4 linked regions of the Drosophila melanogaster genome follow. The protein of the gene in region 2 interacts with the protein of the main gene of each other region in a pairwise test. Each region holds a gene or a part of one and is shown on either strand. Other genes may lie near its edges.

Region 1 (10,599 bases), on a different chromosome or scaffold from region 2:
GCCCATGGTAGTGGTTGCTCCTGTAAAGATCGCCGACCGGCGATAGCCTAATGTTTTGTTTGTTCTCGTGATTAGTTTGTAATTAACTTCGGGTCCCACATCGAAGATCGCCGTCCAGAGATATTCACATAATGTCCGAGGGAAAGTGAATGAGCAGGTATGGAAATTAAAATTTGGCAAGTGAGGTGCCAGATAGACAAATGCCGATAGCACCTTTTTCAATGAGTTCACCATATAATTAGAGGAAGTGTTATTATATTTGTATACTCTTACCCCTCAACGCCAAGATGTTTATCCTCCAAGTTAATTTCATTATAATTAGGCAGAGAGATGGGCCCCTCGAGGGTCAGAGTATATATTTAGTTATCAAAAATGCTATTATATCCGATTAGTTTGGGCCCTCAATCAAAATGGGAAAAGTGGAAATTTTCAAAAGGCCTTCAATACGATTTTCGTACGCTTATCTACACCAGAAACTCAGACCCAAATCCAAATCCCGACCCAGTGCTGCCCAATCATCCATCAAGACTCCACTTAAGACCCAAAACTCCGGCGTGTCAATCGAATTTTCCGAACACCCGAAAGACTCAGTGAAAAATTTCACTTTGAGTGACCATGAAAATGCATTCGTCGAACACGAGAGTGTGTATCTGGTTATCTGTATCTTTGTATCTGAGCTGCACATATTCCCAGACCCATTCAGTCTGTTTTTCAATTTGTTCTGCCGACAGGACGACACTTGCACCCAAGGAATTACGCCTATGTGGAACAGGATATATCTGCGATATTGTGTGAGAAATTCAAACAGGATTTCTGGCTACTTTGCATGCCTGCGAACTGAAGTGTTTGTCAGGGCATTATAATGCGTAATTTATGTGGAGTATTTCTTATAGAGGGAAAGTAATTTGAGTCTCGAAGATACTCGAGACGTGGGGAAAATTGTTGAAAAATTATTATAATTATTTACCAAAAGCTTATAATGCTTTTTAAAACGAAAACTGAAACGTTTCAGATCTATCTGTTCAAATATCGAATAAAAATTCCAATTAAAAAAACGTTGCTAGTTTTGGTTCACATATTTTTATTTATTTTTGATTGGTTTTTGTATGTTTGTGTTTTTTTTTCTTCATATTTTTCGTTTAATAATTTTTGTTTAAATATTTTTCGTGTTTTCACTTTTTTTAGCGTTCACATTGAATACATATTATGGTTTTACTCTCCTTTAATTTATGCTAAATAAATCTTTACGTTTTCGCCGGATAAATATAACTAACTGAAGCGTCTATGAATTTACTGTTAATACTATGAATATATCATTATATATAATAGCATTACTAACGATTTATGCTTACACTACATAGCTATATATAGTTTACAATCGTGCAGCGTTTTATTTATGTATATGTATATTTTTTTGTTTTGCTTAGTTTTTGAGTGAATTTCGTTCTAACTTTACACTGAGATGAGTTTTCGAACAACATTTAAACATTTGTACAATAAGTTAAACTAGATTACAAAAATTGTCTAGGGGAAAGTGAGAAGAACTGTACAGCTTATACATAATTTAAGATTTTTACAACAAATAGAGAAAAGTTTTTCTTTGCCTTCATATAAACAACAAATAATTTACAACATTCAAAAAGATGGCTAACCTTTTTTGTGTAGTTTTCACTGGGCTTAAAGGTCGTCTAAATTGAAAAATAAAGCTAAAGTTTAAGCAATTTCATTGACTGAAAAGAAACTCAGCAGTAATATTTGCCAGAAACGATCTTTTTTATAAGAAATCATATCGGAAAGCAAAATATTGTATTAAAAACTTTTTGACGATTTTTTTTTTACGTTTTTTTTTAAAGTATTTTCTTAGTATTCCAGGAACTTTTTTGCATTTAAGAGACGACCTTTAACCCCAGTGCTTTCACTTTTTAATACTGCTCGTGGCAAGAACTTGGTGGCGTGGGCTGTTAACTTAGTGGGCGGGGCTGCGTGAGGCGTTTACCGCGGGTGGCGAACCGGCGGCAGAGGAGGGTGGCCCCTGACCGCCTGGCAGTTGGTACGGACTGAACCGCTGATACTGGCGCGGTCGCATATCGGGCGACGGCGATCCCGACGACGTCGACGAGGGCGTGGATGCAGTGGGCGGGGGTGGGGGCGTCCGGTTGGCGGCCATCGCTGCGGCTGCCGCCTGCGCCTGCGCTTGGGCCTGAGCGGCGGCTTGAGCGGCGGCAGCTTGCTGATTGGCGCTGGCCAAAAAGCCGGCGGTAAGTTGGGGCCACTGCTGCTGGAACATGTGGAAGGCGCCCAGGCCGGGGGGTGGCGGAGGTGGTCCGGCTGCCGCTGCTGCCGCTTGGTACATTTGCGGCATCATCAGCTGGGCATAGGGGGAGTTGCCGCCAAACATTTGCAGATGCTGGCGTGCCTTCTCGAACAGCGCCATCGAGGAGGGATCACCCTGAGCGGCAAACTGTTGCATCAGCGGATCGGGAAAGAGGCGCAGTGGCGAGCGGAGCTGCTGCTCCAGGAGCAGCGCCTCCATCGGATCGCGATCGAAGTCGGTGAGGCGGGAGGAGTCGCGGAAGCCCTTGGCGAACGGATTCGAATCGATCTTCAGCTTGGTGATCAGCTGATTCTGATAGGCCGTCACCGCGGTGAATACGGTTTCCGGGAATACGTAGGTCTTGTGATCCAAGTCCTGCAATTCCTTGGGATTCGACGGAATGCTCTGTCCATGGCTCAAACGCACCAAATGAATTCTGGGCTGGTAGCGATGCATCGAGTTCAAAACGATCTGGAAGGGAATAGAAAAGAGGGAAAAGGTTTCATTGTAGTAAGTCGATTGAAATTTACATAGCTGGGAATTAGGAAAGTGCTTAAATGATTGAAAGTTATCTTTAATATTCTTTAAAACTTTTCATAAATTAGATAGAAGTATATTGTCCTAAAATTCACTTCTTGAATTGAACACGAACATTTTCCATTTTCACAGCAAAGCAACATTAATCAACGATGGTCTCTAGACTCGCAACTTGGCGAATATTTCTTCGTGTTGCAAAATTATCAATTATTTAGCACTCGCGGCTAATCGCTACCTCAGCATCTGAATGTCTCAGCAGCCGAGTATCTGCGCATCTGAGTATCTCAGTACCACAGCGTCTCGGTATCTCAAGTCAACTCACCTGTCCGTTCTTATCCATTTCGTTATTAGTCAGCTTCACCTTCTCGAAGGAGATAACTTGTTTGCGGAGCGCCTCGCAGCTGAAGGGACTGTCAGGATGGGCGTAGAGGCGTGCTGGGGGGGCGGGGTCGGCCTTGCCGGCCACCAGCCATGCGGAGCGATGGTAGGCGTACCGATACCGCTTCGAGTCCATGGGGATGATGTCCATGAGGACGGCGTAGCGATCGGCGGGCTGGATTTGCCTCAGCGGACCCGAGAAACTGACGCGCACAGTGGGGAACATGCGTCTGGAAGAGGTAACAAAGTTAAATTAATTCGATTAGATTTTTGCTTTCATTGAATGCTCCCTTTTTTTGGGGATTGCTATTGCCACACAGCTAGTTAAGTCGACTATTTATGGCCCAGACACTGGGGCTTCAAGCTGATTTTTTCCCATATTTTCCTTTTCGATTCTCCCTGCTTTGACAAGTGCAGACAATGAAGACAAAAGCGAAACTCTTCCTTCATTTTTTGAGTCACAAACCTGTGTATCCCTCTTGTCTACATCCTGTGGTTTAATGTCCCTCCAAAACCCGGTGACATAACCTCCGGCCAAAAAGGCCAAAGGCGGGCATCGGGGACCGCCCTGATGTCTGCGACTCCGAGGTGTGATTTTTACAATATCATTAAGGTGTATATATATCTATCTATATGTGTGACCTGTGTGCGTGTGGTCAGGTGTGTGGGAGCAAAGGTGTGGACAACCCGTGGTCATTTGGATTGAACTTGTTCCCATTCTCCCGCTGACAACAGCAACGCCCATAGCTCTGATTTTCTCATTTTCTTCCTGCGCAGGTACACAAATGTTTCCTTTTTTTTTGCACAGTTTCCCTTTTGGAGGAAATAGACCCCACACATTCACTCAAATGGCATGAAATTTTTGTTGACACTGCAAAAACCATTTGGCGAGCCAATTTATGGGCAACTGACTTAGGGTGAACATCTTTGATGATTGAACACGCAGACACTTGATTGTTCAATAAAGAAGTTTTGCGGAAAAGTGATGAATGCAAAATATTTTGTGAAAAGAGTATATGTTTGGGTAATGCCATTTGGCAGCAACTTTTACCTCCCAAAATCTCCCACGTTGCTCCACCATTTAAAACTAATGCCTGTTTGCACTAAACTCGACTGACTGACTGATGGTTGGATGGATGGCTGGATGGATGGATGGCTTGTTGCTGGTTTGGATGCTTACCTGCCCGTTTTGGTGATGATCATCTCGGTGCCGAGATCGTGAAAGCGATCCCACAGCTCTTTGGTCTCCAGATGGCACTGCACCGGCTTCAGATCGTCGCAATTGCAGGAGCCGACAATTTTGGGTGCCTTCTGCACCGGTTCCGGTGTTAAACGCTCCTCGCTGTCCTCCGTTCCCGGGGATTGGGGCGGTGTGGAGCAGCGTCCTTGGCTGCTGGTCGAGCTGGTGTTCAGTTGGGATTCGGCGGAAGCTGTTTGTGCCACGGCGCCACCGCTGTTGCGACTCTTGTGTGCCACATTGTTGTTGTTGTTGTTATTGTTGTTATTGTGGTGGTGCTGGTGATGCTGGTGGTGCTGATGATGGTTCAAACGACGCGCCTTAGTCGGTGGCTCCTCGGCATCGCTGCAGTCGACCACATCAACGTCAACCTCATCCTCCACCGAAATGGGACCTTAAATGACACGAGAGGAAAAAGCGAAAATTGAAAATTAAATCTGAATTACACCGTTCGTTTTGGAGGTAATGCAAATTAAAATGCAATGCACATGGGAAAAAGCGTTAAGTAAAATCTCTAAATTGAAGCCTTCAATATATTTGGCACTAAACACTTTAAAGATCACAATGTTTCCTGAATTTTTCATCACTTTTTCCTTCATAACTTGTGCGTCTTATTAACGATTTTTCCGTTGTGCATTTGGCCAAAAACCGAGGCCGTGCTTCCGTTGACAACATTGAGTGGTGGAGCTGATTTCGCGGCAGACAGCGTGGAGTCGTCTCATATTCTTGGAGTTTCCGCTTCGCTTCGCGTTTCAATTGCAATGAGACAGTGCGACGACGACCGCTGGCTTAATTGTCAAACTGAACACAAATCGGCAATTAAACAGCCCGAAACTCTAGCTGCGATTGCTCTTTTCCATTGCATAAACAAAAGCGGAGGGCTTTCGTTCAAGGTGTGTGCGCAAAAGTTGATGAATAATATTTTTGGGCTTATCCATGGGCGAACTCTCACATACGCTTTCCATTTTCCATAAGCCGAAAATGGTAACAAAATGATGGGGAGAACTAAGCAGCCCGGTTTTTTTGCAGGTGAGCCCAGACGGTAGGTGTTAAAATGCAAAGTAAGCAAACGGAAAACGGAAAGCGACCACAGAAAACAAAAAAAACAAAACAAAATATGAAATTAAAAAAGCTGCATATTTGATAAAGAGATCGTAAAATACGAACACCTCGTAGCGTTTTTGTTTTGATTTCGGCCGTCGCTAATTTTCTGCGCCTCGTAAAATTAATAAAATGAAGCACATTGTTGAAAATTAATTAACATAATTAGCAGCCTTTGTTAAATATGAATTCCGCGCGATTAGATGCTGTGCACAATTTGCATATTATCATAATATCGGCCACAAAAGAGCGCTGCAAGTGTTTGCTAACAAATATCTGGATTCGCGATCTTTGGCTCGACTTAATTGCGAATGCCGTCGGCCAGAGAGAACTAGTTTTTTCTTTTTTAACGTGGCCGGAACGCCTGCTAATTGTCATTAGCAATTAAATGGAACTCTGCGCACCCAAAGCGACAACAGTAATTTAATAGATTTGTTGTGCAATCAATTAGCGATTGTCTTGTGGCTAATAATGTTTGCATTCGCTGGTCAAGTTTGCGGTTCTCTTCTTGGGCGTTGAGTTGTTAATCACGTTTAATTTGAATTAATCGTATAAAAATTCCATTTTTGTTTTAGCAATTTCTAGTTATTGTGTGCTGGTATGTTAAGTAAGTTTTTGTACAGAAAGCACTGCTAGGAGATAAGTGAATATCTAAAGTTACAACTACCTACTATGATTAAAGATTGTTGAATTAGGGAACTTATAGCTTGTCAAATGAAGTTCTAAACAAAAGTACCCTATGGTATTTGAGACTACAGAAATGAAAGTATCTTAAAGATATTCTACATCTCATCAATGAATCTTGCTGTAAGTCTGTTAAGCCTAAAAAAATCTTGTTTAAAAATCACTATATAATCGAAATGCTTAATATTCAAGGCATTAAATTTCTAATGCATAAAAATATATTTTTAAGAACAAATTGTTCCTATCAACCGATTAATGATTCTGCCGCTTCCCACAGAATTCCTTTCTTATTAAGGATATTTTCAATATGTATCTGAACTTACTTGCACTGCGAATGGAGGACTCCCGACTGGAGGCATCTTCGCGAGCCATGATGGCGGCGATGGAAAAGTCCGTCGCTGAGCCGGCGGCACTTTTGCTAGCCGTTGTTGTTGTCTGTCCACTGGCATTTGGTGCTGCAGGGGCGGCGGGCACCCCGTTGCACAAATACGGATGAGATCCAACCAGCATTTTGAAGGGTATGATGTTGTTCTTAATGGGGCTTTAACTAGGGAATACCTTGGAAAGGTATTGGGGTATTGTATCTGGTCACTTTTCAACACTTGGCACTTATAAAGCTAGATGCATCTTTAGCTTTGGTAACTCGAGGGGTATGTGTATGTTTCAAGGTGTAAGTATCTTGTATCTTTATATCTCTCTTGCTTTCTTTTGCTTATCTTTGGCGCACGCGAACTGAGAATCTCGCGGACTGAGTGTGTGCGCAACGGAAGGCAGGCGACGACGAACTGAATTGTGTCAGGAAAATGTTGCCGCTGAGAAGCCAAAAACGACGGCAGGCGCAAAACTCGGGAAACCAGTTATTCCTCTTATGGTCCCTATGTGTGCAAGCGAGACCACCCTACAGCGAGCCGCGCCAGTACGAGTGCAAGCGGGATAGCCCTATAGCCGCACACTCTGAGTGAAAACGCCACTCGCTCTCTCGTTTTCCAATTGGAAAATCGGCGGGGGAGTGAACGTGCGACAGAGAGAAAGGCGGCGCTGTCAGCAACTTGCGCCCCTCTCTTTTCTTCGCCTCACCTCTCTCTCTGACGAACGCGTCATAACTCATTTACAATTAAAAATGTCGGCGCTTTTGGCCTTCTCCCTCGCACCTCTCTATTTCTCCATAGCGAGGTCTCTTTCTTTTTATTTTTGCCTCTCTTTCTCGCCCATTTATGAAGTGCCAACGTTTTGCTTGCGGTTTTTCTTGGTCTTTTTTTTTAAACAACTTTTCGCCGTTGTCGTCGCATTCCATTTCCTGTTATCTCCTCTTCTGACGTTTTCTTCCATCTTCCGTCTGTTCCATTTCGTTTCCAACACGTTCCGTGTCTCACTCAATTCTGTTTTGAGTGAGTTTTATGTCTCTGTTTTTTTTCTGCAGTTGCATCCCGTTGTTTTTCCTTTCTTATTTATCTGCAAGGACATGGACCTTGAGTCAAGGTTATTGCAATGGGACGTTGGGAATTTATTAGTTTGAGCTCGAGAAATTTTTCTGTGCTCTAAAAACATGAATAAAGAGTGCGAAAATAACTACAAGTTTATTTAAAATGTATATGCAATTTGAATTTATTTCGGTAAAGGGAAGAACATATTTTAAACAATTCGCTTAGTACATATTATAGAAGTCCATTTGAAAACATAGTATATCTATAAGCATTAGTCAAGACATTTTTATTTGTAAAGCTATATTTTTTTATATTCAAGAGGATATGATCATGAAATTTAGATTATGGCGATTCAAAAAGTTAACAGGGATATTTTTCCGTTAGTAATTATATACAATTCCACACGCTGTATGATAGAAGCTAGTCCTCTGGAAAATTCCCCCATAATATTTACAGATGTCAACAAATTGTTATGTTTCCCAGGCAAAAGTCAAGACCTTTGTCAGTGCCAATTAACCCGCTAAAAAATGCAAAGAAAATGCGGCTGCGACAAGGAAACTCGAAACAACTGACAGTTCGTCACATTCATTACGTATTGCTCGGATTGCCAATTGCCATGACGGAAATCCTGCGATCCTGAAAAACGGAACGCGGAGATCCAAACTAACTAACAAGCTGACTAATCCCGCTTATCCTGTGCGAGGAACAAACCGTCTTGTTGTGTGATTTTTGTAATTTGAGACATTTTTTAAGTCGGGTAGCGACAAAGTGGGCATGTCACTTTGACACTTTCGCCCTGGGAGAAATGGTGAAAGTGGACGGGGAGGGATGCGTCGTGTGTGTTCTGGTTACAATTGCAGTTAAGTTGATAGCTATAAAATGTTTTATCAGCATTAACAAATTCAAAAGCAAAACGGACGATAGCATTATAGATTGGGATAACTTTAAATACAATTTTATGACACAAGAACGCTGGTTCTAAAAAGTAGAGTGCATACTTTGATTCTAGAAAAAGGTTTACACTTCCTTTCATAAAAAGAGCCTATGTTCCTAATATGTTGGCCTTGTCTGTGCATCTACATGTGTGTCTTTTTAGGTGGCAGTCCCGTATGTCACCAAAATGTCAAAAGCCAAGGAAAACACAAGTTGTGAAAACAAAGGGCGGTCGATCTGAAAAAAAAGTGGCCACTTGGCACTTGTAAAAATAAACAATTCTGCTTGTTAATTAGTGCGGCTAACTGTCCTCGTTTGACTTTCTCCTTGTTATGTCCTTTCCCTCTCGAAATCTCAAGTATTTGGCCCTCGGCTTTGTCGGCAATTTATAATTTCTTCGATACTTTTCCCTTTCTCACTTAACGATCGCTTTGGGTAATCGAATACTTTCACTTTGAATTTGGCCGACACAGGACTGTGGAAATTTCCTCTGGTCAGCAAGAAGGACATACATTTTCCTGCTCCAATTTTACTGGGCGGTCACTTTGATTGATGATTTGCGGCAATAGATAACTAATGTTTTGAGCTGGCTTTAATTTCATTTTTCACTCTGCTCACTTGAGATTCCCCTGCTTTGTCTGCGGCATTTCCGCTTCTTAAGTTCAAATAACACTTTCCGGGGCTTCGATTGCAAAAGGGTTCTTCTTCATCCAGGGGGGTTTTCAATTCGTTCGTTTTTCGAGCACTTGAGCCGCCCTGAAGTGGGAGGCACGTGTTCGTATTATTTTTATTACCATTTCCATTTCTTTTGGGGGTCTGAAGACGAGGCGGCGGAGAATTTCCGCTTGGCACTTGCCTCGACTCCAAAATCTGCCCGATAAGCACTAAAAGCGGAAGCAACCCAAGCACTATTGAGTTTCTATTTATAAAGCGGAATTGCAGCAACATGTGTGCTGGAAATGAAAATGATATGGGGAATTATGCACTCTGCATTGTATGATTACTTGTAATACATTTTATATAATTTGATATCACTCTTTGTAACGATAAGAAAAGTCTGTTTGTTACCTGATATCATTTTGTATCTGTAAATTTAATTTATATATGTACATATTCGTTCAATCTTTTAATCTACCTATTCTAAGTCGAATTACAAATTTAATAATTCATAATCCATAACAGTATCTTGATGCCATCCCTCAAGATCCTCAAATCACATTAGGCATTTCCAGTTTCTGGTGCCGCATTGTCTGGCAAGGATATTTGCCAAATCATCTTTCATCCTTCACGCATATTTCCCTCGTGTCCTGTGGCCTGCCCGCAAATATTTACCAAATATTTTCCATTATTTTCAGTTGTTTGCACTGAGAACGCCCACAAAAAAAAAATGAAAATACAAATAATGAATATTTCTGGGGGGAAAAGGAGGATGGCTGGCCAACCGGTTTGTCTGGGTGTTTTGTTCTGGAATTTATTAATGAAACTCATTGGGTTGGGTTTTGCTTTTTGGGCTTTGCCCTGGGGACCCAGTTGTATATATGTTTTTTTTTGTTTGTTTGCCGTTTGGGTGCATCTTCAAATCAGAGCCGACGCTTTGATAAATGCCCGGCACTCTTGGCTACCGGCTCCGGGTTTTCCACTCTTTTTTCCTTTTTAGCCCGGTAGCAATTCCGCTAAAAGTTGGACACTGCCTTTATTCCCCAGCTATTTGTTTATGCAAAAAAACCACAGAAGTGAATAAGGTAGCAAATTTTCTGGGAATTCCCTTTTAGCAGTCACCATAAATCTTTGTGTATCTCCGACCTGGCTGGCTTTATATATGTATATGTACATAGGTATATATTCGTGTGCAGTAACAATTGTCACACCTTTCGGCGGCCACTCAGCAGAATCCCCCTCGTCCTCTTAACCCCTCTGTGGTGCTGTGTGTAATTTGACTCATTAACAAACCGAATCCGAGCCTCAATCTCTGATGTCTGAAGGGTTTTCGG
Region 2 (7,737 bases):
GTTTTTAGTTGTAAGCGCACTTAGCTTCAGACATTATGCCAATTTTCAGTGCAACTTGATACTGTATTGAAACTGGCTTAGAGTGGCAACAGCGAAACAAAGGAAAGAAAAGAAACAGACAAATGTTAAGCAAGAATAATGCGTTACACGAAACTGCACTAAGCTCAACATTTTGGGTTTTACACTCCTCAGGGTTTTTTTTTTCTTATTTATCTATCTTTTATGCGCCTCCTTGCAGCGCGAATCAAATGAAAGGCAGTGACAAAAGGATGTTTTTTTTTTGGAGGAGCAAACTTTGAACTCCACTCGCTCTGTGCCCGTCAAGGAGGCCAGAATCCCTTTTTTGGCCTAGACAAATTACACCCGAGCTCACCAGCGGACTCATCAGTCAGAGTCGAGAAACAGTGAAAATCTCTTTGGGTTCCGGGAACACATGGCAGCCTAGGAGCAAGCGGAGCGTGGAGTAGTGGGAGGCGACAAAAAATGGACTCCATCATGTACATGAATGCCCATGCTAATTAGGACTGTCCTGGGGGGACGGCCAACTGGACCTGGGCCAATTAAATGCTTAAGCTGACTTTCGGGTTCGAGCTTGTCATAAATTTTGACTGATTATGCGTATTCGTCTTTGTCGTAGCCCCTTCTCTGGCTCCTTCCAACGCCGCCCCAAGTGTCCCATCTCTTTCCACTCATCTCATCCTTCGGCTACAAGTACCCGTGACAACTGAAGAATTTTCTGCGGCATCCGAACCCCACCTCCCAAGTGTCCGACGCAATTCATCATTCAATTAAATTGACCGCAAAGAGCAGCATTTCACATCGCTCAGTTCGTCGACATCGCCTTGGGTTAAGTTTTTAAAGTTGCCCAAAGTCGAATCCTTTAATGCCTTGCCAGCATTTTTGCTGCAATCGATTATCCTTTCAATAAAATGCCGCGGAGGCGAGAAAAAAAAACTTTTACCCCCTCGAAATTTAACGCTTTCGCCCGCCGCATCCCCCTGACCCGAAAAATTGGGGATATCTTTTGAGGTTGATTTATGCGCTGGCTTAAAAGCGAATTGTTGTGAGCTGCTAACTGGAAATCTGTTTGACTGCACGTACTTGTTCTGGTTCTCCACACATAGCCCTCCACACTGAAATCTCCATCATCGACTTTCCGGGCTTAAACGATTGCCAAACAAAGTCAAAAGAGAACGTCGTGCATGCCGAAGGATTCGGAATCCTTTGCATTTGAGCTGCGCTTTTTTTTTCCGCCATGCTTCTTGGTATGCCGGTCCCGGCAACTCAAGGATTTCGCAGCTGTCCTGGTCACAGTCACTATCTGCTGCCCGGATTTGGCCAAAGTGATTTACGACATGCTCATGCCAGGCATTCAAAATGCGGTCTAATTGAGACTCCTTAGATGATTAATCCTTGGCTAATATGGCGAAATTCAACAAGTCTACGCCGCACATTTCCCATAAATTTATTTTTCTTTTTGCTGCCGATAACGCCTTTGATTAATTAACACACTCGAAGTTTTTTTATGTACCTCATGTGAGAAAAGGAAAAAAAATGAAAAGTGATGCATATGCTCTAATAAGTGAGCCCAACAACGAATTGAGATGTTATCACGATTTATTCGGCTTGTTTACTTTATAATACACTAACAGAAAAATTTCTGTTCGATGTTTTCGACATTTGTGTGGGATTGTTATAAGTATTTCACACGTTAGTATGCAAGTTTGTGAAATACAAGACTTAATAGGTTGTGTACAATTATCAATCTAAATTTATTACGCCACTTATTAAATTTTTTAAATTATTTTAGAACGTTTGTCACCCCGCACAAGTGTGAACCTTGAATTATGCTCATTGCAAAACAAACTACAACTGCTGCGATTTTTTGCATTCTTCTTGTGGTTTTAATTGCTACCTAGAGTTTTTAATTAACGCCCCCGATTTAGCTGTATGTATTTGTCGGAGGGAGAAGGCCAACATAATTTGCAGACTTTTGAGGGGCGGTGGGAGGACTTTGAACTGGGCGCAGGAAGTGGGGTGGAAATCCTTTGAATTGCGGTTGCCATGACAAACTCTTATTTCGCCCGGCATTCCGTTGTCTGGCTAATTCAACGTTTGTGCAGCATGCAAAATATTATAAAATTCCGCCAAATGTCGGAGGTACTTCCCCTCCAGCAAAAAGACGGGCAAAAAAAAAAAACGGAAACAAAAACTAATAAACGACAACAGGTGAGGCTGAAAGCTGACACGTGGCATCAACAACGCTGAGTAAGAATTCAAGGCGCATTTTTGGGAGGAGTGGACTTTCAGCAATAACTGTGGCCCAAGCGCCGGTTGCCAACGCGACCAGCTGTGGAGTATAGTTGAAGTTTTTCGAGGGGAATCGAGGTCTGTTTCGGCATCGATGATAGCCCGCCTATCGATAGGCGGCAGGACCTGTTATCGCCGAGGGCGCCAAAAAGTGCTATCGTTCGGGGCCACAAGCTCCCGAGTTCCCTCATTCGTTGGTCTGCATTGAGGGCGTGGTCTGGCCTACGCACAGCGAGTATAGCCGACCCGCTCTAGCAACCACTTGGCAGGGCAAGCGCGAACGAGTCAGCATGCTTGGCTCGACGGCAAGATGGCTGTGGGCTCAGCTAGCTGTCTCCTTTCCTCGCCCGCCCGGGGCACTGGCACGGTGTGTGCTCTTTGCGATTTTTGCAAATCAATGCGAGAGATAAGCCCGCTGGCAGAGATAACGCTTGACTTAACCGTCAATTGTGCGAGGGGGTGGCGATTGAATGCGGCGCCAGTGCGCAGTCGTTGTTGTCGAAGTTATCAGGTTTCGTAGTCAATTCGCTTTGATTTTTTCGCACTGCCCTCAAATGCAAGCGAGCAGCGCTACGTATACGGCGTACAGCTCCCATACGATACAATAGTGCGATCCGAAACAATTCGATCCGTTTCCGTTTGCTAGTGCCTAGAAAGCCGTCGCACTGGCAGAGACCATTAACCGAATTGATCTAACTGGGAAGTGCCAAGGAATAACTAAGTGAAAATGTGCCCGAAGTGTAAAAATGCTATCAATTAAACAGTAGAAAACAAGGACGAGTGACCACACCCGAAGGTGGAAGCAAGCCGTGTCCTCCGCCGGACAGTGTCCGGCTGTCAGTTGGTCAAACAGTTCATCAATAAACGATTCGACTTCCGTTTCATTGCGTGTCCCTAAGCTGTGCATGTCTGCGTGTCTGTGAGTGCGATTGTGTGTGTGTGCCAGCTGTGCGCGTGTGTGTGTGTGTGTGTGGGAGCTAAGGAAACTTTTCAACTTCCGGCCAAGTGACTTGGATTTAATTTCTTTGGCTTTTTTATGGTCAAGGCATTTAATTAATTTTACTATGGCAATTTGATCGTCTGCTGGCCTGAACTCTGACCCCAGCCCATAACCCTGTGGCATACACAAAAAGCAAGGAGGCGGAAAAAGGACGAGCGATAGGAGGAGCCAGGTGAGTCCTTGGCCAAATGAGCAATAAAACTCAATGCAAATGCCCACACAATCGAACTTCGGCAGAAGTTTCTGCGGTTAAGGAAAGTGAAACGGATTTAGTTTTCTGGTTAGTCGCACAATAGTTAAATTACCCAAATAGCTGGACATTTGACAGGGGTCAAAGTTCAAGAGAGGGCTGGGCCAAATATTCACAACACACGAGCAATTAGTATACTTAAATGTTTTGCCAAGACAAAAATCAAACATTCATTTATGATTCCAGAAATCTTGATACATTGTAAGCAGTTTTATTGCATATGATTGTATACTATAAACATAAACAAAAACTTTGCTAAACAAGTTAATGACCATTTTCTCTTGTCAATTTAAAAACTTTTAGTATTGAAAATTAACAAGTACTTCCAAAAAAGCACAAAGTCACCTATGTATGTTTATATTTGCGTTGAGCAGAAGCCACCCATCCAAAAATAACAAATCTGTTTACTTGCAGCCACACCCATTTCCACCGAACAATTGAGATGTAATTTGCACCGCAGGTGAACTTCAACTCCAACGTTCTGTGATAGACGAGTATACGAGCAGGAACTCCCATTGGGATTCCGCCACCACCAGTCGATATCGATTCCCGATTCAATCAAATTGGATCCCGAATCCTAACTTTCGGAGCAGCAATCAGAAACAGCGACAAACTGTCGACTCTGTCGATCCGCAATTTCTCGGCAAACATGCTGAACAATCTTGGGGCCAATGTGCTGGGTAAGTTACGCCCCCAATCCTCGATAGCGTTTTAAGTGCGGGCTGCGGGCGGGAGCTGCGTATAATGTTGCAATTAAGATCGCCAAGTGAATTGCGCTAATGTATAATAATGTGTGTATTAATCCATGGCATACGATCCGCCTGGCCATAATTAAACTAATTTCTTGAGCACACCCACAAAAGATCGGAGGGGTAGTTAGTCGTACTTCCGATCTGGCGATTGCCATCGCATCTCCCATGTCTGCTAAATGGCCTATAATTGAGACGTCTAACCAGATGGCGCCAGGTGTCGCGTGCATTTAGCAATAATTAAGTTGTGTATTTAACTAACTCGGCAAACCTTCTCCGATTCCCATTCCCATATGCCTATGCCCATTCCGAATCGAGTGTGGGTGGGTGTGTTTGTGTTAATTGATATAATTGCTCTTTTAAATATGCCGCAAATTGTGAATTACATTCACACATTCACCCGGCGCACGCACATAATTATCAAACTGTACTTGTGTCCTCATATTAATATATTAATAATTCCGAATACACATATGTACATATGTATGTGCGTGTGTGCAGGTGAATAAATTATTTTTACCACACTGTTGATCAACGATTCAAGCACTTTCAATTTTGGCAATCAATTTGTTGTTAGCCGTCCAACACTACCAGAAAATACAGTTTGCAAGTGCATTTGCAACTGCAACTGCAGCAGCCATGGATGAGTTATGGCTCGCGTTTATATTCAATTTTTATTGCCAGCATCCTTGCGTCCTTCGAAGCGTTGCCATTAATTACTTTTATTAATTTATTGCCATTTTTCACGCGCCAATTGTCGCCGCTCGGTGCACGCGGCGTATGCGTAATGTCCATAGTTGCCATTGAAGATGGGTGTTTAATTAAGGGCTAGCAAGCGAAACTGATCTGACGGTTTGCTATCTGCCATGGATTGCGACTGCCAAAGTTGGCTTTTAAAGTTTTCGCCGGCTTCAACTTTAGCCAGCTCCATTTGCCCACGAAGAACTATAAATTTCAATGAATCGCAGTGCGGAATCCTTTGGACAAATCCTGCCCGCAGTGCTGGAGTCTGCCATAATAAATTTCGTGAGCCTTTTTCCGAGTTTCGCACAACAGAGAGGCCAAAAAACATTTGCATACTGGGTGCGTGGCCGAGAGGGGCAAAAGTGGATGCCCCCCTAACCACCCCTTTACAATTAAGAGCAATTTGCATGCAAAAGAAATGGCAGAACTTTCCCCGGATTCGTATTGTCTCTCCCCTACTAATGCTTAATTTGCATGCAGCGAAAGGAGCTCGAATGGCGTTTCGTTTGGGCGCTTTTTTCGTGAGCCTCGCATTAATTAAATTAATTTCATGATTGCATTTGTAATTTGCACAGACCCCCTTCAGGTTTACCCCCACCCGTCCGTTGCATCCACGAAATATCTGCGCGTGCTTCGCTTTGTGCGTTCGGCATTTTTGCGGTGGCCTAGGCTAGTGAAATATGTGTGCTTAACCCCGCTGAACACCGCTTAACCCCCCACTGCCATATCCGCTTTGCATTGAAATGTTTTGCGGTTGCTGCGGATTCTGTTCCCAGTTGCGGTTAGTTGTTGGAGCAGCCCAGATTCCATGCCATGCCATGCCATGCCATGCCATTCCATTCCATTTCAAACCAAACCGAATCGGAGCGATCTGCATCGTAGTTTGCCAACTCGAGGCCCAAAGGCCAAAGCCTATGTCCTGCTAAAAACCGCACAATTTCCAAATTTCAATAATTATGCACATTGCTGAATGCACATGCAACTGACGGCGAATCTGGATGCAAGTGCTCGGCCATGAAAGTCCGTTTCTGGCCATTCGGCTGGCCATTCCGGCCAGGTCCATATATTTTGCGGGAGAAATCGCGTCGTTCGCTCCCAAAAACAGGCAAACTGATTTGCGCAAATTGTGCAAATTGCTTGCGCGATAAATTCATGTTTGCCAATTTTAATTAATTAATCGCTTTGTGCGGTTTTCATTTCGTTTCGCTCCTCTTTCTCGCCGGACCAACTAAAATGTTCGCTTCGGGCCAGATGTAAATCTACGTATCTGCGTCCTGTGTATCTGTGTTGCCACTGCAATGTTTACAGTTTCGTATTAACACTATCGCAATTTTGGCCAGGTAGCAAATGGAGGACCGAAACTAAATTACGATGATAGATAACAAAATTATGCCCTATTAGTACGCGTCCTAATGATTTGGGAACATGGATAGGTTTTTATGCCAGTTTTGCGGTTAACACGCAGATTTTGGAAAATGTTTGCCAGCTTTCTTATGTTCGATGGGAAAATTAGTAATGGATTTAGGCGTGAATTTAATTTAAATCAAAATTAAATTTTTGAAAGTATAAACACACTTTGCATCCAGTTAAAACTTTAATATAAGTAAGACAAGTGGTTAAATAGGTTACTAGAATATATTTCTGTAAAGTCTTAACTTCCATTCTAATAAAAACTCAAATAGGTTCAGCTAATAGCTTACTCAGAATGCAGAAACTTTAGCCCTGAATGAGACTACTGCGTCATCTTGATCTGCATACACGATGAACAGTTAGGGCTGCTGCTTTTTAATATTTATGTGTTACAACTGTAAAAGGCGAGGTGAAAAAATCAAAGTTAGACCAACTAACTAACTAGCCAAGCCGGGCCGAGTCGAGTCGTGTTTTTTAGCCGGCTAAGTGCGATTTCGAGAAGTGGCGCTATTTTATGGCTCCCAAACGTGGCCCAAACACACTGCCCATTCAACACACACACACATACATATACGTATCGTATGTAGGTACAATATTTGAAATTCGATTTGAGAAAACAGAAGGAAGCGGGAACAGTTGGATGTTAAAAGTCGCACTTCTTTGGAGCAACGGACCAACGGCGATGTATCTGTGGATATGGATGCGAGTATCTATCTGCTCGCAGCAGCGGATACATGTTTGAGATGTTGCCATCGAGCGTGAATTTCCAGCTGAGGGATCGAGCATCCAACTCGATGGAGATATCGCACCTAACACCGCGCCTTAAATTTACTAATCACGAGCAGAGAGTTTGAAGTTTAAACGCCATTCGGTGCGTGCTGCGTAATGCCCTAAAAATATATGTCAGTGAGCTGGCAGCTTTAGATACATTCGTATCTCTGCTACAGTTTGCCACAATTGCAGCGTCTCAGTTCCGACCGGATTGGAAACTCTTTTGGGGCTGGCAGTTTCGATGGGTGCAGGGGTGGGGAGATTGGTTTGGTCCCGATTGGGGACGTCACCATCTGAAAATCGCTAATGAACAGTAGCCGCACTGGGTGTATGTGTAAAAATTAGCACTTTCCGGGCAGCGTTTTAAAACGCAACAACTACAAACGGCCTGCTTCAGGGAATGTCGCTTGTAGGAACTCCATATCTTTTATTTGTTGATATTTATATTTATGGTTTTATGTGGCGTCTCTCGACGCCCTGAACTCGTTCACCTGCTGACTGCT
Region 3 (5,647 bases), 4.6 Mb from region 2:
TTTCGTAGCTTTATCACCTATCGCTCTTGCAAACATCTCGACGGCAAACACACCATCTTTGGAAAGCTTGTCGGAGGATTAGACACTCTTCAAAAGATGGAAAATATCGAGGTGGATAACAAGGACAGACCAATTGAGGACATCATCATTGAGTCCTCACAGGTCTTTGTGAATCCATTTGCCGAGGCAGCCGAACAGTTGGCCAAGGAGCGCGAGGAGGAGGCGGCCGGCAAGGAGGAGATTGTCAAGAAGGAGGAGCAGCAAAAGCGCATGAAGGAGCCACTGAAGGTGTACAGAGAGGGCGTAGGCAAGTACCTGAAACTTCAGACAGTGGCCAAAAAGCCAGAGGCGCCACTTACATCCGCTCAAGCAGCCAAGAAGAAGAAACTGGCGAATGGTTTTGGAGATTTCTCCAGTTGGTAACCCATTGTTTTCCAAAAATAAATATTTAAAAGACCGTTTTAGAAGTAAAAGTTATCACTCTTTATCGGTAGATTTGGTTCCCCCATCTGTGCGCTCTCTATCCTGCCAGCTTTTCTTCATTTCTTGCAGCTTTTCCTGTCGCCGCCGCCGCTCAGTGGACTTTCTCTGCTCTTGTGCCTTGACTTGCGCGGCAATTGAATGCTCTCCGTTTAGATGCACGTCCAGTTTTTCCAGTAGAAGTTTACGAGCCTCCACTCGATTCTTTGATGCTAGACGATGTGTGTGACACTTGACCGTTATATTGGTGGGTAGATGGCGCAAGAACACGCAGTTGGATGTCTTGTTGACAGCCTGGCCACCAGGACCACTGCCGCGCATGAAGGTCTCCTCGATATCCGACTCCTGAAGCACGGGAAAGCGGGAGTAGTCCAGATTGGACTTGCAGCGCACAGCGGTCGGAGGCAGCGCCAGGAATCGCACCAGACCTCGCAGCATTCCTACAGAATGCGTCCCTTCTTTAGCAGGGTCTCTCCGCGCTGAAATATAAGTTCATTTTGTAAATCAGTTATGAAATACGAAAGTGGCACTTACCTTAAAGCTGAATTCCACTTCCACGGGATTCGTAAGGGAACGGTTGTCCCGAAACTCGTGGCGAACTCTTCCCAGAAAGTAGTTCTTGTCGGTCAGCTTTAGGTGATTGCCGTAACGAATTAAATGCTTGTATAAACGCAAAATTTGCTGCCGCGAAGGTTGAACCATTTTCATATTTCACTCTCACATGTGTGACAGTGCTGGTTAACGCAGAACTACAACAGGTTGGCAGTTCAGCAAAAACACAATCAGCTGCGGCGTTGTGCGATCAAAACAAAAGCAACAGTTATAAAAATAAACATTTGAAAAAAACGCAATGATAAGATTATAAATCTTAAGTAGCCCACAATTTACGATTCCCCCACCACTGTTAAAAATTCCTAGTCACGGTTAAACAGTGTATTAAACTCTAAATAGGTAATGCATGTCACTTTAACATCTATTTTATTATCTACAGTTACGCTATACCTGAAATGCCTGAATACTTTTACATTAGGCTATCAATTGATTACTCCTTGGGCAACTTGTCAAGATCAATGCCGTCATCAATGGACACCCCTGTCGCCTGGCTCAGCTCCAGCATTTCCTTAACCTGGTGAGCAACCTCCCTGTCCACAACTTCTCCACCTCGATTCATGGTCCGTTCGATGATTTCCTCGTCAGACAGTTGCAAGGCGAACATCTCCTCGGGCGAGATGTCCAAGGGATCCACCAAACTCATGAGGAAACTGGCCGATATGGATAAGCTGTACGGCAGGAAACGCACGTACTCCTTCAGAAGCTCACCGCGACTAAGAAATAGCGTAATTAGTATTATATTATTTCTTGGCAGTAAAAAGCTTTACAGGATTATCTTATCTTATCACATCGAGCACCTAATGAGTATTTTTAGATTTTTGATTTGCATTCATATCGCTTGTTTGAAATTTTAAAAGCTTATGAATAATGAATAATAATAACAACTCACCTTAGGAAATCCGGAACCTCCTCCTTGGCGTGCTCCCTATAGCTATTATGAAGCGCCAAGGTGTATTCACAGAAGATGGCCTCGAAGTTTGGATCGCGTACCTCGGCAAAAATGGACACGGCTAGAAAGACGTTGAGATCGACCATGGGAGAGGAGACTCGCAATGTCTGGTAGTCGAACATCATGATCTCCTGCGGCTCCTCCTTGTCATCGTACCTGTACGCCACATTATTCCTCACATAATCGCCGTGGCACAGGGTGGCCAGTGGCTCCCTGGGCGCCACCCGTTGCCTACCGTATTGCGAATAGTCCGAGATCATGAAACAGAACTTCTTAACAAACTCCTCGTCGATCTGTGGCTGATAGGTGGCCACCGCCTTGGCCGCTCGATCGATGCTCGTTTTCATGGTGAGCTTCCATTCCGGATGAATGTTATCGTTGGCATAGCGAGATTCCTTCAGATTGTCAGTCAGCTGGGCAAACTTTTCCGGGTTCTTGTGCTTCATGGCGTACGCAAAGCCATGGAACCTTCCCAGGTAACTCACGGCAATCATGGCGTGCTGCAGACTCAGACCCACACGATCCTTGGTGACCCGCCATCCCTGCTCCGCGAAATTCTCCAGAATGGCCACAGCCGAATGCTGGTTCAACTCGCCGTAATAGTACTTGGGTGCGGCAAACTTGCCATCGGTGAACTTCTGAAACTCTGGCAGAATTTCCGTATAGAAATTTATCTCGTTGGTAAAAAGGGGCCCAAACTGTATGGATTCATACATTTCTGGTGGCATAGCAGGTGTTTTCTACAAAAAAAAAAAAAAACAATTAATTATTGGTATTCTGGGGTCATTGCATGCCAAAGTAAACTTCATCATTAGATGTGATTTATTTTGAATTCAAAATCAATTCGCTTTGTTCTTTTGTTGAGATGCCTCCCTCTATTTCACAATGTTTGCCATAAAACCCACACTCTCACTAAGCTATCTGAGTTTGCTGGAAAACAAAACTGGTAAGTAGTACGCAGTTAAGGCACTTATATAATATAATTTAAATTCCGCGAGTATAGTAAATCTTTTCGTTGTGTTTTTAGATATCCAGATAGATTGTTTAAGATTTATTTATACTATGTGAATGGAATAAACCTACCTTAACCACCATTTTTCGCTGAAACTTTTGCCCGTCGTATTCAAAATTAATGGTTGTCCGGTAGCAAAAAGTTAGCATAAAGGCCTCCGAGTGGCCAATTACATCAATGTCGATGTCCCCCACATGGAATGTGGTCACCTTGGACTCGCTGTAGTTGTCCACCAGGCGCCCGTTCCTCAGAATTGACGGAAGAACCGTGTATCTCAGCCATTGCCTCTCAGCCTCGATCTTCTCCATTTCGTCGGTACTGACGATCCCAACCGCTTCGCTTGTGGATAGCGAATGAGCATAAACCATTTCATATAGCTCATTTTGTACTACTCTCCAAAAGCTCATTCGTTGTTAGAGATTACACGATAAGAGCGAATTGGAAATGAAAAGCTTTCTAATCATTAAAAGCACTTTATGGTTTATAGAGAAGCAGTACCTACCTAATGATTAGCATGATGCAATTTGGCATGTTAAAATGATATGATAAGATATCATGACGCAAAGATAGGGGGATACGCTATTTATTAGTTTTAATTAGTTTTTTTTTTTTGTTTATTGTGTGCAAAGTTTAATGATTCCTTTGGATTAAGTTCTATTTTCCATAATCACAGGTATCGATATATTTTTAGTCAAAATTTCCAGTTTTAGAAAAAGCTATCCTACCGTTGCAGTTCGACTATCGACCAACTACCAATGGGCCTCAACTGGTATTTACTCAAAACGACCGGGTCAATGACCAGGGCCAACACCTACGTTCGAAAGTTCACGAATGGATCGCAGCAAAGTCGAGATATCAGCATGCCATCCAAAGTGCCAAAGAGGACAAGTGCTTCGATCAGGATCACGGATTTGGATAACATGTCATATATGTCCTCTTCTTCGCGAAAAGGCAAAATAACGAGCGGCCGACACGATCAGTTGAAAATGTCGAAGAATGCTCAACACGACGATGTCGTCTGTCCAATGCAAGCGAGTAGGAAGCCCATCGAGGAGCCCACTGTTCGGGATTCGCCACAAATGCGCGAGTTCTTCGAGGAAGTGCGTCAGCGAAAGCTCAAGGATTACTATCTTCAGATGAAGGCTGCACAAAGAAATCCAGCGATGTCCCATGTGTGTCCGGATTGTGGTTTTGTGAAGCGGGATAAGAAGGATCTCAGCAAAAACATTTACTGCACGGGGGATAAACGATTGAGGATAAAAGATTGTGATCGGCATGGGGATCTCACCTGGCTGTGGAACTCCTCCGCTGCATATCCTCACTCTGCACTTAGTTGTGGATGCAGCAGAGGTGTCTCCAGCCACTTGGAAACTTTAATCAAGCTGCACAATATAAAATGTTTAATTTAAAATTTGTAATTTTTGATATCTAGTTGCCAAGGAGTTTGCTGATAATACATCTGTTTTTCTCCGATATTTAGTTTCATTCTGCAATCCAAATCGTTCGTACCTTTCCGATTTGAACCCCACTCTTTCCACAATGTTTTCCGATCCCGCCCAGGAGTCGGTTGCCACGCAGACGGAGGCACAACCGGTTCCGTCGCCCATCTGCACCCCACTGCTGATGGTGGACGAGGATGGACGAAAGCGGTACTGCTACCATGGTGGAAAATGCAAGTGTGCCACTTGCGCACAAATTCGTGCAGAGCAGGCAGTGAAACTCGACCAGGAGCTGCTGTCCTACATACCGCACTCGAAGCTCCACCTGGAAGTTCCAATCCGAATGGCCAAGCCGAAGCAGTATCGCCTGGAAGCTCGACGGGCTACTCCCGAACTGGCAAAATTTCTGCGGGAGGATCACGAGAGGCTGAGGGCGGAGTATCCATCGTACTATCTCCCGGATCGATACTTTGGTAAGAAATTCTACGAGTTGCCAGGACCGCAGCACAAGGAGACCCAGACGGACATTCCGATTGGGCGTTACGGCATCGATGGTTGTCCCTGTACCAATAAATCGCTCTGCTATGACTTGTAATCCTGGGCAGGACTCAATTGGGGAAAAAAGAGTTTAATAAAAGTTCGGAATGTGAGAAGTATTTGCATGTTTTTCAATAAATCACTATAGTTAATTTCCCCGACTATCACATACCCATTACTCAGCTAGTAGGTGTGCAAATTAAATTTAATGTAAATAAATTGATTATCACTTATGATAATAGTTATGATACTCCTATTTCTTGGGTAATTTGGAATAGAAATCCTCCAGGAAATCCTTTAATATCAACTTGAACTTTTCGCCGTGCTTGGCCAATAGCAACTTGGCCTCACTGTCCTCATTGTCCAGCATCTCATCCGCTTCCTCCAGCACCTGAAGGTAATGCAGCCAAGCCGTTTCCAATCCCATAACCTGCTCAAATGTTTCCTCGCTAAGCTTCACCTGGTATTTGTGCAGCAGAACGAAGAGTTCCAGCATCGGAGTAAATGCGGACTGCTTCACTGGCACATCCTTCAGGAGTTTTTCAAAGAGCTGTTTGGCAGCCACCGTTTCACGGATGGTACGAGGAACCTTCATCACATTACGCTCGTTGCGTCGCA
Region 4 (7,611 bases), on a different chromosome or scaffold from region 2:
TGATATATCCTTTGGCACAATATGGCCGCCATGTGCATTTAGATGGCCATGTCCTGGCGGCTTAGTTTCCGCCTTTTTCCCAATTTCCCACCGCCGCCCGCCTATTGGCCATTTAGTGCACGTAGGCAAAAGGAGCAAACGCAAGGAAAATAGTGAAATTTCCCAAATAAAAACTAATAGCCATTGGGAAAACCGTGCTCCATTCTGCGGCTTTTCCGCATGCGACTTTGCCGTAATCCCGTCAAAGCGTAAACAAAATAGGAATACATGGGTTATTTGAAATCTGTTCCATTCAATGAGAATCGCAATGGCTTCTAGAGTATATATCCCCTGATTGGATTTTCCGTGCTCTTCCAACTTTTTTGCTACGTTCTCCGATTTCTTTGCCCAGGATTAGTCATAGTTTTTGGCAATTTTGTTCATAAATAACTTTGAAGTGCTTTGTTTTGATTTTCCGATGCAGCAACATTATGCAAATACCTCAAGGCACAATTTTGTGGGCTTTACGTGTTTTAAAAGAAAGACGGTGTTGTTCATATACAAATATTTCATTGCTCAAAATCTGCATCATCATAGAATGTTCACAGAATTAAAATAGAAAAACATATCTGAAAATTTATTTTTTTAAATCTAAATATCAAGGTTTAAATCTCCCATAAAATAACATAAAAAGGGGGTGTTTTAATAAAAGTTGAAATTTCTCAATTAACTCCAAACGCATTTCCGCACTTTACGAACTTCATTAGCTCGTTGATTTCCACGAAAATCGTTGAAAACTATTTAAAGAAATGACTATTAGGAAAACACGCCCTCTTAATTTCATTAAATCAAATTCAAATTGTCCGAGACCAGCCCACAAAGAAAACAAAAACAAAGCGATTGCAATTTTTCACTCCCCCTGAAAAAAAAAATATATATATAAAAAAGGAGCAAGGGCAGGAGCAGGAATAGAAACAGGGAAAACCCCCCCAAAAAAAAACCTGGAAAGTTGAAAAAATATGGTGGCATATGCAAATGAGATTTCAGGGCAGGAAACAAATCATTGAAAAATTGTCACCGAGCCGCGACAAAGCAAACAAAGCGAGCTGCGGCCCACCCTGTCTGTATCCCTATACTCCAGATACCACATATAGCCGAATGTACTCCCTCCACCGATCCGACCACCATCAACATCACCATTAGTGGCTCAATTGTGCGCCACATCGGCTGGCAACCACGAATCGCATGCAAATGAAACCGCAGAGACAAAAACAACGATTACACCTGGGAAAACTAAAATAAGACGCATTTTGAATTTAAATTTTGCATTTGAGACTAAACATTTTTATTAAATATTTAGATAATAAACACATTCATATCAATATGTTGTAAACTTTAATATAAAAGTTACCAAAACTAAATTTTAAGATAAATGTATTGTAACCAGAACATACAAGACATAAAATTTAAATAGTTTACACTTTCGATAATGTAGCGAAATTATTCAACTTTTCTCGCAGTGCTGGGAAAAGAGGACATCATCCTAGGAGGACGAAGGGCGCAGCTGACGAATTGTGAAAAAAGTCTGACGGAGGGAAACAAGATGGTGGCACCACCAGAGCCCCTTCCCCTCACCCCACCAGTTTCCTCCCTTTTCCATGGGTCTATAATTTTCTGCTGCGTTCACACGCCATAGTCGCATTTTTTTTCCAACCATCTTTTGTTGTTTCCTTTGAGCAAACATTTAAATTAAAAACATTTACATACGCCGGTGGGCGGACAAAAGGGAGGAGTGCCAGGAACCCAGATATTCAATTATGATTTTTCAATTGGAGGACCCAGCACACGAGACACTTTCTCAGATAAGTCCTGTCGCAGGACTTTTTGTTTTTTCTCTTGACGGTCTGGAAAATTATAGGGTGATGGTTAGGATGTTTAAAGGACATTTAAAGGGAATGAATAATTACAAGAATACAAATACATAAATATATTTTTCTTGGAATTTGGTGAAAATACAACTTGTAACGAAACAATTCAATACATTTTTCATAGCTCAAAATTGTACAATTTTTTTGAATAAAATGAGAAAAATGTGGAAACAGAAAACATTTCGAAATATTTTACATAAAATGCTGGCAAACAATAAAATGATGGCAAATGCGGGATAACCCCTTTGTTCATTTTTTACATTAATTTCCTCTCCTGAATTTTATAGATTTCCCTACCATGTTTAAATATGCTTTATAAGGTTATGTTTATAAAACATTCATTTCAATGTTATAGGTTAGTTCTTAATATAAAATCGTTTATTTAAGACTTAAAAAATATGTAATCAAGAACAATAATATTAATTTCAGAGATACCATGAAATTAAATATTATTAAAAGAATTTTTCAATATTCTCAATTTATACAGTAAACGTAACTAGAACGAAACTCACTCGCTTTTCCACTCAACTCAGTGCGCTGTGGTGAATAGCCAATGAGAAACGGAATGGAATCGGACCGAGTTGAGAATAATTGTAAATAGTCGACGAAAAGCGGTGAAACACACCCCCAACCCCGACCAACAAAATCCACTCACACTCACCATAGCAACAACAACAATGAAGCAAAGAACTGTCAACAGCCAAAAACAAAATGACGAATTTATGAACTCCTCAGCGCGCTCTCTTTCGCGCTCCCTTGCTTCTAGCGGCACGAGTGAGATGGCAGCAACAAAAGGCTCTCACTCAAATACGGCTATATAGAGTTGTCTCGCTCTAACACGCGGCTAGCTTATGAATTGGTATTGTTTTGAGTGCATGGGAATGTGTGTTCGAATTGGAAAATGGAAATGAGTTATGCCTCGACGCCGACGTCGCTGCAAGCAGCATGGGAATGCACTGCATGTGTGGCCATCTCGCTCACACCAGTCTAATTGAAAACCGTATTTTTTCCCATATTTCTTTTGCGGTTTAAACTGGCGGTTTGCCTACGTCACGTAAGGAAAGTTTCGGGCCATGTTCTCTGGAAATGTTTCCTTACGTCGCGTTACGTGGTGTTGAAAACCTTTCGCCGTAAGACACATCAGCTGTTGTTGTTTCTGTTTTGGGGGGTCAGTCGACGTCGCAGTTGGCTTCGCTGTCGGCGTCCTCGTATTTGTTGTTGATTTTTGCGTTGCGTTTTTTTGTTGGTTTTGTTGGCTTTGGCTTTGGCGCTTTTGGCGTTTACATGGCGAAAAGCGAATTGGGATTCATTCAATGGTCAGCTGCGTGACTGTGAAGCAGCGACGGCGCTCCGGAATTTCCCGTTTCCTACTCGAGAATACGCAAATTACGATAAATAGCACGAAAAACCGGAGACCGCAAATACGGGCGTAAAGTCGTCAAGTCGCAAAGTGTGTCGTAAAACGTTGGAAAAAATAATACACATTATTTGCAAAAAAAAATTAGACAAATTTTATAATATTTTATTATTTAATAAAAAATCAAACGGCACAAGAATAATAACATACATACATATATAAAAAGGAAGCAAAGCAACTCTGTGTGATAAAGCAGTTTAAATTATTAAAAGCAAAAGCCGGCAAAAAATCAACAAATATGTTGAAGAAAATTGTAAAGAATTCAGTTTAAATCCGAATATAATATTTTAAAGAGCATTAAACAAACAAGTCCCAAAATAGTAGAACTAATGCAAATACAAACATATCAAATAATGGGCAACAAATAGGCAAACGATAAAGAAAATACCAACAAAAGCGGGAAAGAAAGTCCGAAACCTTTGAGAGCATATATTTGGCAAGAATTGGCTAAAATCCGTGCAGCAGCATTACCAATTGGTCTCGGCCCGAAAATGCTTTTGAGCAATCAGCCGGCGAATACGAAACCGCAGCAAACGCCTTCGCCGTCGCAGACGCAGAACTTCAAGTCGAAGCTGCAGCAGCAGATTGTTTCGGCAGCGGCGGCGGCAGCGGCGAACATAGCCAACGGCAGCAGCCATCATCATCATCATCAGAACCATCATCATCACCATCCGCTGAACAACCATCATAATCACAATCACAATCAGCACAACATTTCCTTCGCCACGGATTTCTCAATTGCGGCGATTATGGCGCGCGGCGGAAACGCCCCAAGCAGCCGCGAACCTTCGGAACGCAGTCTGAGTGAGTAAAGTAATTCCCGCACTAAAATATCAGGCCTACATCGCAAACTAGACTCAAGAGCTGTTCAAAAATAGCCAATGCATTTTAGGGCTTCATTTTCGATTGGGTTTCAGAACAATAAGTATCTTGATATCGTTAGTTTGCATGAAACGAGCTTAAAAACCAATCTTCATTTGAGTCCCATCGCTTCATTCATGAACGTATGTTTCTTATGATTCTTGAATTCATATTCAGCTCCTTACTACAAACAAGTTTCACTCTATTAACATATTCAATATTCCATTCTTTCGATTGAGACTAATAAATTGGCCAGTCAAAGTTTGAAAAGATTTTAACTCTGGCATATCTAGCATGTTGATGTTTATCCCAAGTTACGGGCTTGTCTGCTGATTTAACTATAAATATTTACGATCCAGGATTAAAATATGAAAGGCTTGATAAATGATTGAAAATAATCAAGCTGTGACGAAGAGCCAATTATCACATTTATGTATTATTTATGTGAATTTTTTAATTCAGATTTCAGATACAAGATTAGGAAAGTACACTCAAAATCGAAATAGAACTCGATAAAATCACACATAAGAGCAGAAACAAAATGCATTGCCAGAAAAATATATGTGTAGCAAATTGGCTTTGAATACTTGAGACTTGATGAAGAACAAAAGCAAATTAGTAGGTTAGTGTGCTAGCAAGAAAATTGAAATGTAGTTGATATTTCTATATATTTCTAGAAACACGTAAAGCAGTTAGGAAAATATATAAACATATTTCATTGGCTTTGGTAAAGAGTCATGTAATCGATTGCTTAGTAATATTCACTTGCTTTATTACCCACCTCTTGAAAAACTGTCGCAGCTGCATTACATTTCTATATTTTCCACATTTTTTGCTGCCCTTTTTGTGCAATATAAATTATATATTGATGACAATGCAACGTTGATGACTTGATAATTGCAGCAAATGCGCGGCAATAAAATAATCAAAGCCTATTTGAATGCGCCAAAGGGGTTGGGAAATGCACATGACAGGCGCAGAGCAGATACATATATATGTATAATCGCATTTGTATATACACTCTGAATGCAAAACTATTTAGATGCCATAATTGGGCAGAGACAAAAGCGCAAACAGATGCATTCATTAGTGTGAAAACCGACCCCCCCCCCACCATCGTGCACACCATTCTCTTTCAATTGGCAATTTTCATTGGCAATGCCAGCACACAAATACACACGAAATTAACATATGAAATTGCATTTTGAGCAAATAATTGAATTTCTGGCGTAATCTGTAAAATGCATCTGGTCGCGAACTGGATTCTCGTTGGCATTGCTGTTGCGACTCGTCATCGACAACATGCAACATGTTGCAGCCCAGCAGCAACTCCCACATTAACGAGCCACGCTGATGTCTCTCTTTTCTAAGTGCACTGAAAGAATATGCTCTTCTAATATGACAACAAACAATTAGCACTTATGTCTGTTAAGAAATGATATACTTAAATACACATTCTTTACTGTTAGAAATTCGTAGGAATCTTTTTTATAAACTTATAAGCTCTAAGTATCATTATATTTAATATTAATTATTTTTGGTTACTTGTATCAAACATTAATTTTTAATGATTGTGTTTTGTAGTTGCAAGTAGTTGTTTTTCCATAATTGGGACTTAGTTACTGACGCATTCTGCCCCCCATTCATTTCTGGTCGTGTAGGTCCCGCATCTGTGGAGCGCTATTCAGGCCAGGATGCGGACGATGATGTTGACGTTGATGTGGTCGACTGCAGTGACTCGGAAATGCCGTCGGCAACTGCGGCAGCAGCAGCGGCGGCAACAACAGCAGCGGCTGCAGCGGCAGCATTGCAGGCGCAGCAACAAGCGCGTCAGGCATTGCGTGTTGCACAGCAACAACAGCAGCAGCAGCAACAACAAAGGCAGCAGACACATCACCACGCAACAACTGGCAAGCAACAACGCCAACATCACAATCATCACAGCAGCAACACCAACAACAGCAGCAACTCAGGCAACAGCAACACCAACAGCAAATCAAGCAGCCAGCGAGGGCGTTCTGCTGCCGCAGTGGGAGCCGCTGCCACGCCCTCGCCACCGCCGCCCCCGCCCTCGCAAAGTCCGGAGGAACTCGAACGCCTGTCGCCAGAGGAATCACCAGCCCAGGTAAAGCTGCACAGAGACATAAATCCTTTTTGCTTCTAGAAAAAGTGGCTAGCAAAAAGTATTATTAGCAAAATTTATAAAATAAGATATAGGTACAAAAAATTTGATATAGGATTATTTCCTATCTTATATATTATATTATCTTATATAATAGATTTTATATATAGTAGATATGATTTTCTTTGTGTGTATGCATCACCAACTAAGTGTGGCGAAAGAAATATGCATCTCCTCGAGCGTCCTACTAAAATCGCCTCCTAATTCTCTACTCCTTCTTTTTCATCTCTCTTGGCAATGCCACGCCCACAGCAGCCCACGCCCAAGATAGTGGGCTCGTGCAACTGCGACGATCTCACGCCCGTCCAGTGCCACCTGGAGACCAAGGAGCTGTGGGATAAGTTCCATGAATTGGGCACTGAAATGATCATTACCAAATCGGGCAGGTGAGTGCAGTGCCATTGCCATGGCGGCAACAAATGCATAAATTAAGGGGTTTACACCTAAGTGAGTAGGCTGGAAAAACCAGGGGTTTCCATTGATGCAGTCATGAATGATTTTTAGCAGAGATGCAAGCGCAGATATATGCCTACTTTATTCTATTTAAAAGGGGATATTCTATATATACAGAGTGAGCTTATCTGAAGTATACTGTATATTATATGAGATTTAAGTTGAATTTCCTTTTTTAAATGTTCTCACTTTCTTATTTGTTGATCTTTCAAAACTCACTTCAATCAATCCACCAACCAATCAAGTTAGACATTTGAAAACTCCACTTATCGACATAGCCAGTTATTGAAAGAAATTTCCCGATAATCGATCACATTTCGTTTATAGCCCCGGCAACTTGCATTTTATTTCATTAAGCGCATTCGTTGGAATTCAATTTGCCGGCGGTGTTGGTGAGGCGGAGTGCTGGGAGGAGTGGATTGGCATGGGGCAGTCCGGGTCATAACCATAATGCCGCCCCCGGCAGTTGGCCACCAATCGAGCCCACGAAAAGTCCTCGAACGAAACACAATCAATAAAAACTTTAATGCGCCTTTCACCCATGGAAAGCCAAATGCCCAACTTCCAGCTCATGTTGGCTGTAAGCTAGCGGCCACGCCCCGTTTACGCCCCATGCCGTCTTAACTGGAAATATCAACAGCTTTTCGGTTAGTTCCTCATTTACATCAAGACATTTTTTTGTCGTTGTATTTTTTTTTTTTTTTTGATTGACAAGGCTTTGAAGTAATTTGCGTCGATTTTCGATTAGCAGAAAAACAAAAGACAACCATTTCGTCAGCTGTTTTAGCTCA

The links.
Region 1: the proteins of otp (region 2) and mid interact in a two-hybrid assay, tested with the Drosophila melanogaster proteins (one large-scale study listed by BioGRID).
Region 3: the proteins of otp (region 2) and CG30324 interact in a two-hybrid assay, tested with the Drosophila melanogaster proteins (one large-scale study listed by BioGRID).
Region 4: the proteins of otp (region 2) and H15 interact in a two-hybrid assay, tested with the Drosophila melanogaster proteins (one large-scale study listed by BioGRID).

The regions. Positions count from the first base shown.
Region 1 is NT_033779.5:5,458,080-5,468,678, reverse strand, and holds mid (midline), read right to left. Parts: upstream 7,041-10,599; 5' UTR 6,762-7,040; coding exon 6,575-6,761; intron 4,861-6,574; coding exon 4,410-4,860; intron 3,460-4,409; coding exon 3,174-3,459; intron 2,786-3,173; coding exon 1,967-2,785; 3' UTR 1,069-1,966; downstream 1-1,068.
Region 2 is NT_033778.4:20,898,531-20,906,267, reverse strand, and holds the start of otp (orthopedia), read left to right. Parts: upstream 1-2,853; 5' UTR 2,854-3,482; intron 3,483-3,974; 5' UTR 3,975-4,209; coding exon 4,210-4,240; intron 4,241-7,638; exon of another isoform or gene 7,639-7,737. UniProt on the Drosophila melanogaster protein: May be involved in the development of the central nervous system.
Region 3 is NT_033778.4:16,287,086-16,292,732, reverse strand, and holds CG30324 (uncharacterized protein), read left to right. Parts: upstream 1-4,499; 5' UTR 4,500-4,592; coding exon 4,593-5,087; 3' UTR 5,088-5,147; downstream 5,148-5,647. Other genes in the region: CG7747 (uncharacterized protein), read left to right, coding at 9-423; CG30100 (uncharacterized protein), read right to left, coding at 478-918; CG42372 (uncharacterized protein), read right to left, coding at 921-959, 1,015-1,182; JhI-26 (juvenile hormone-inducible protein 26), read right to left, coding at 1,523-1,805, 1,982-2,781, 3,125-3,361; CG30099 (uncharacterized protein), read left to right, coding at 3,809-4,462; CG9068 (uncharacterized protein), read right to left, coding at 5,283-5,647.
Region 4 is NT_033779.5:5,401,065-5,408,675, forward strand, and holds the start of H15 (H15), read left to right. Parts: upstream 1-3,215; 5' UTR 3,216-3,815; coding exon 3,816-4,128; intron 4,129-5,846; coding exon 5,847-6,310; intron 6,311-6,619; coding exon 6,620-6,753; intron 6,754-7,611.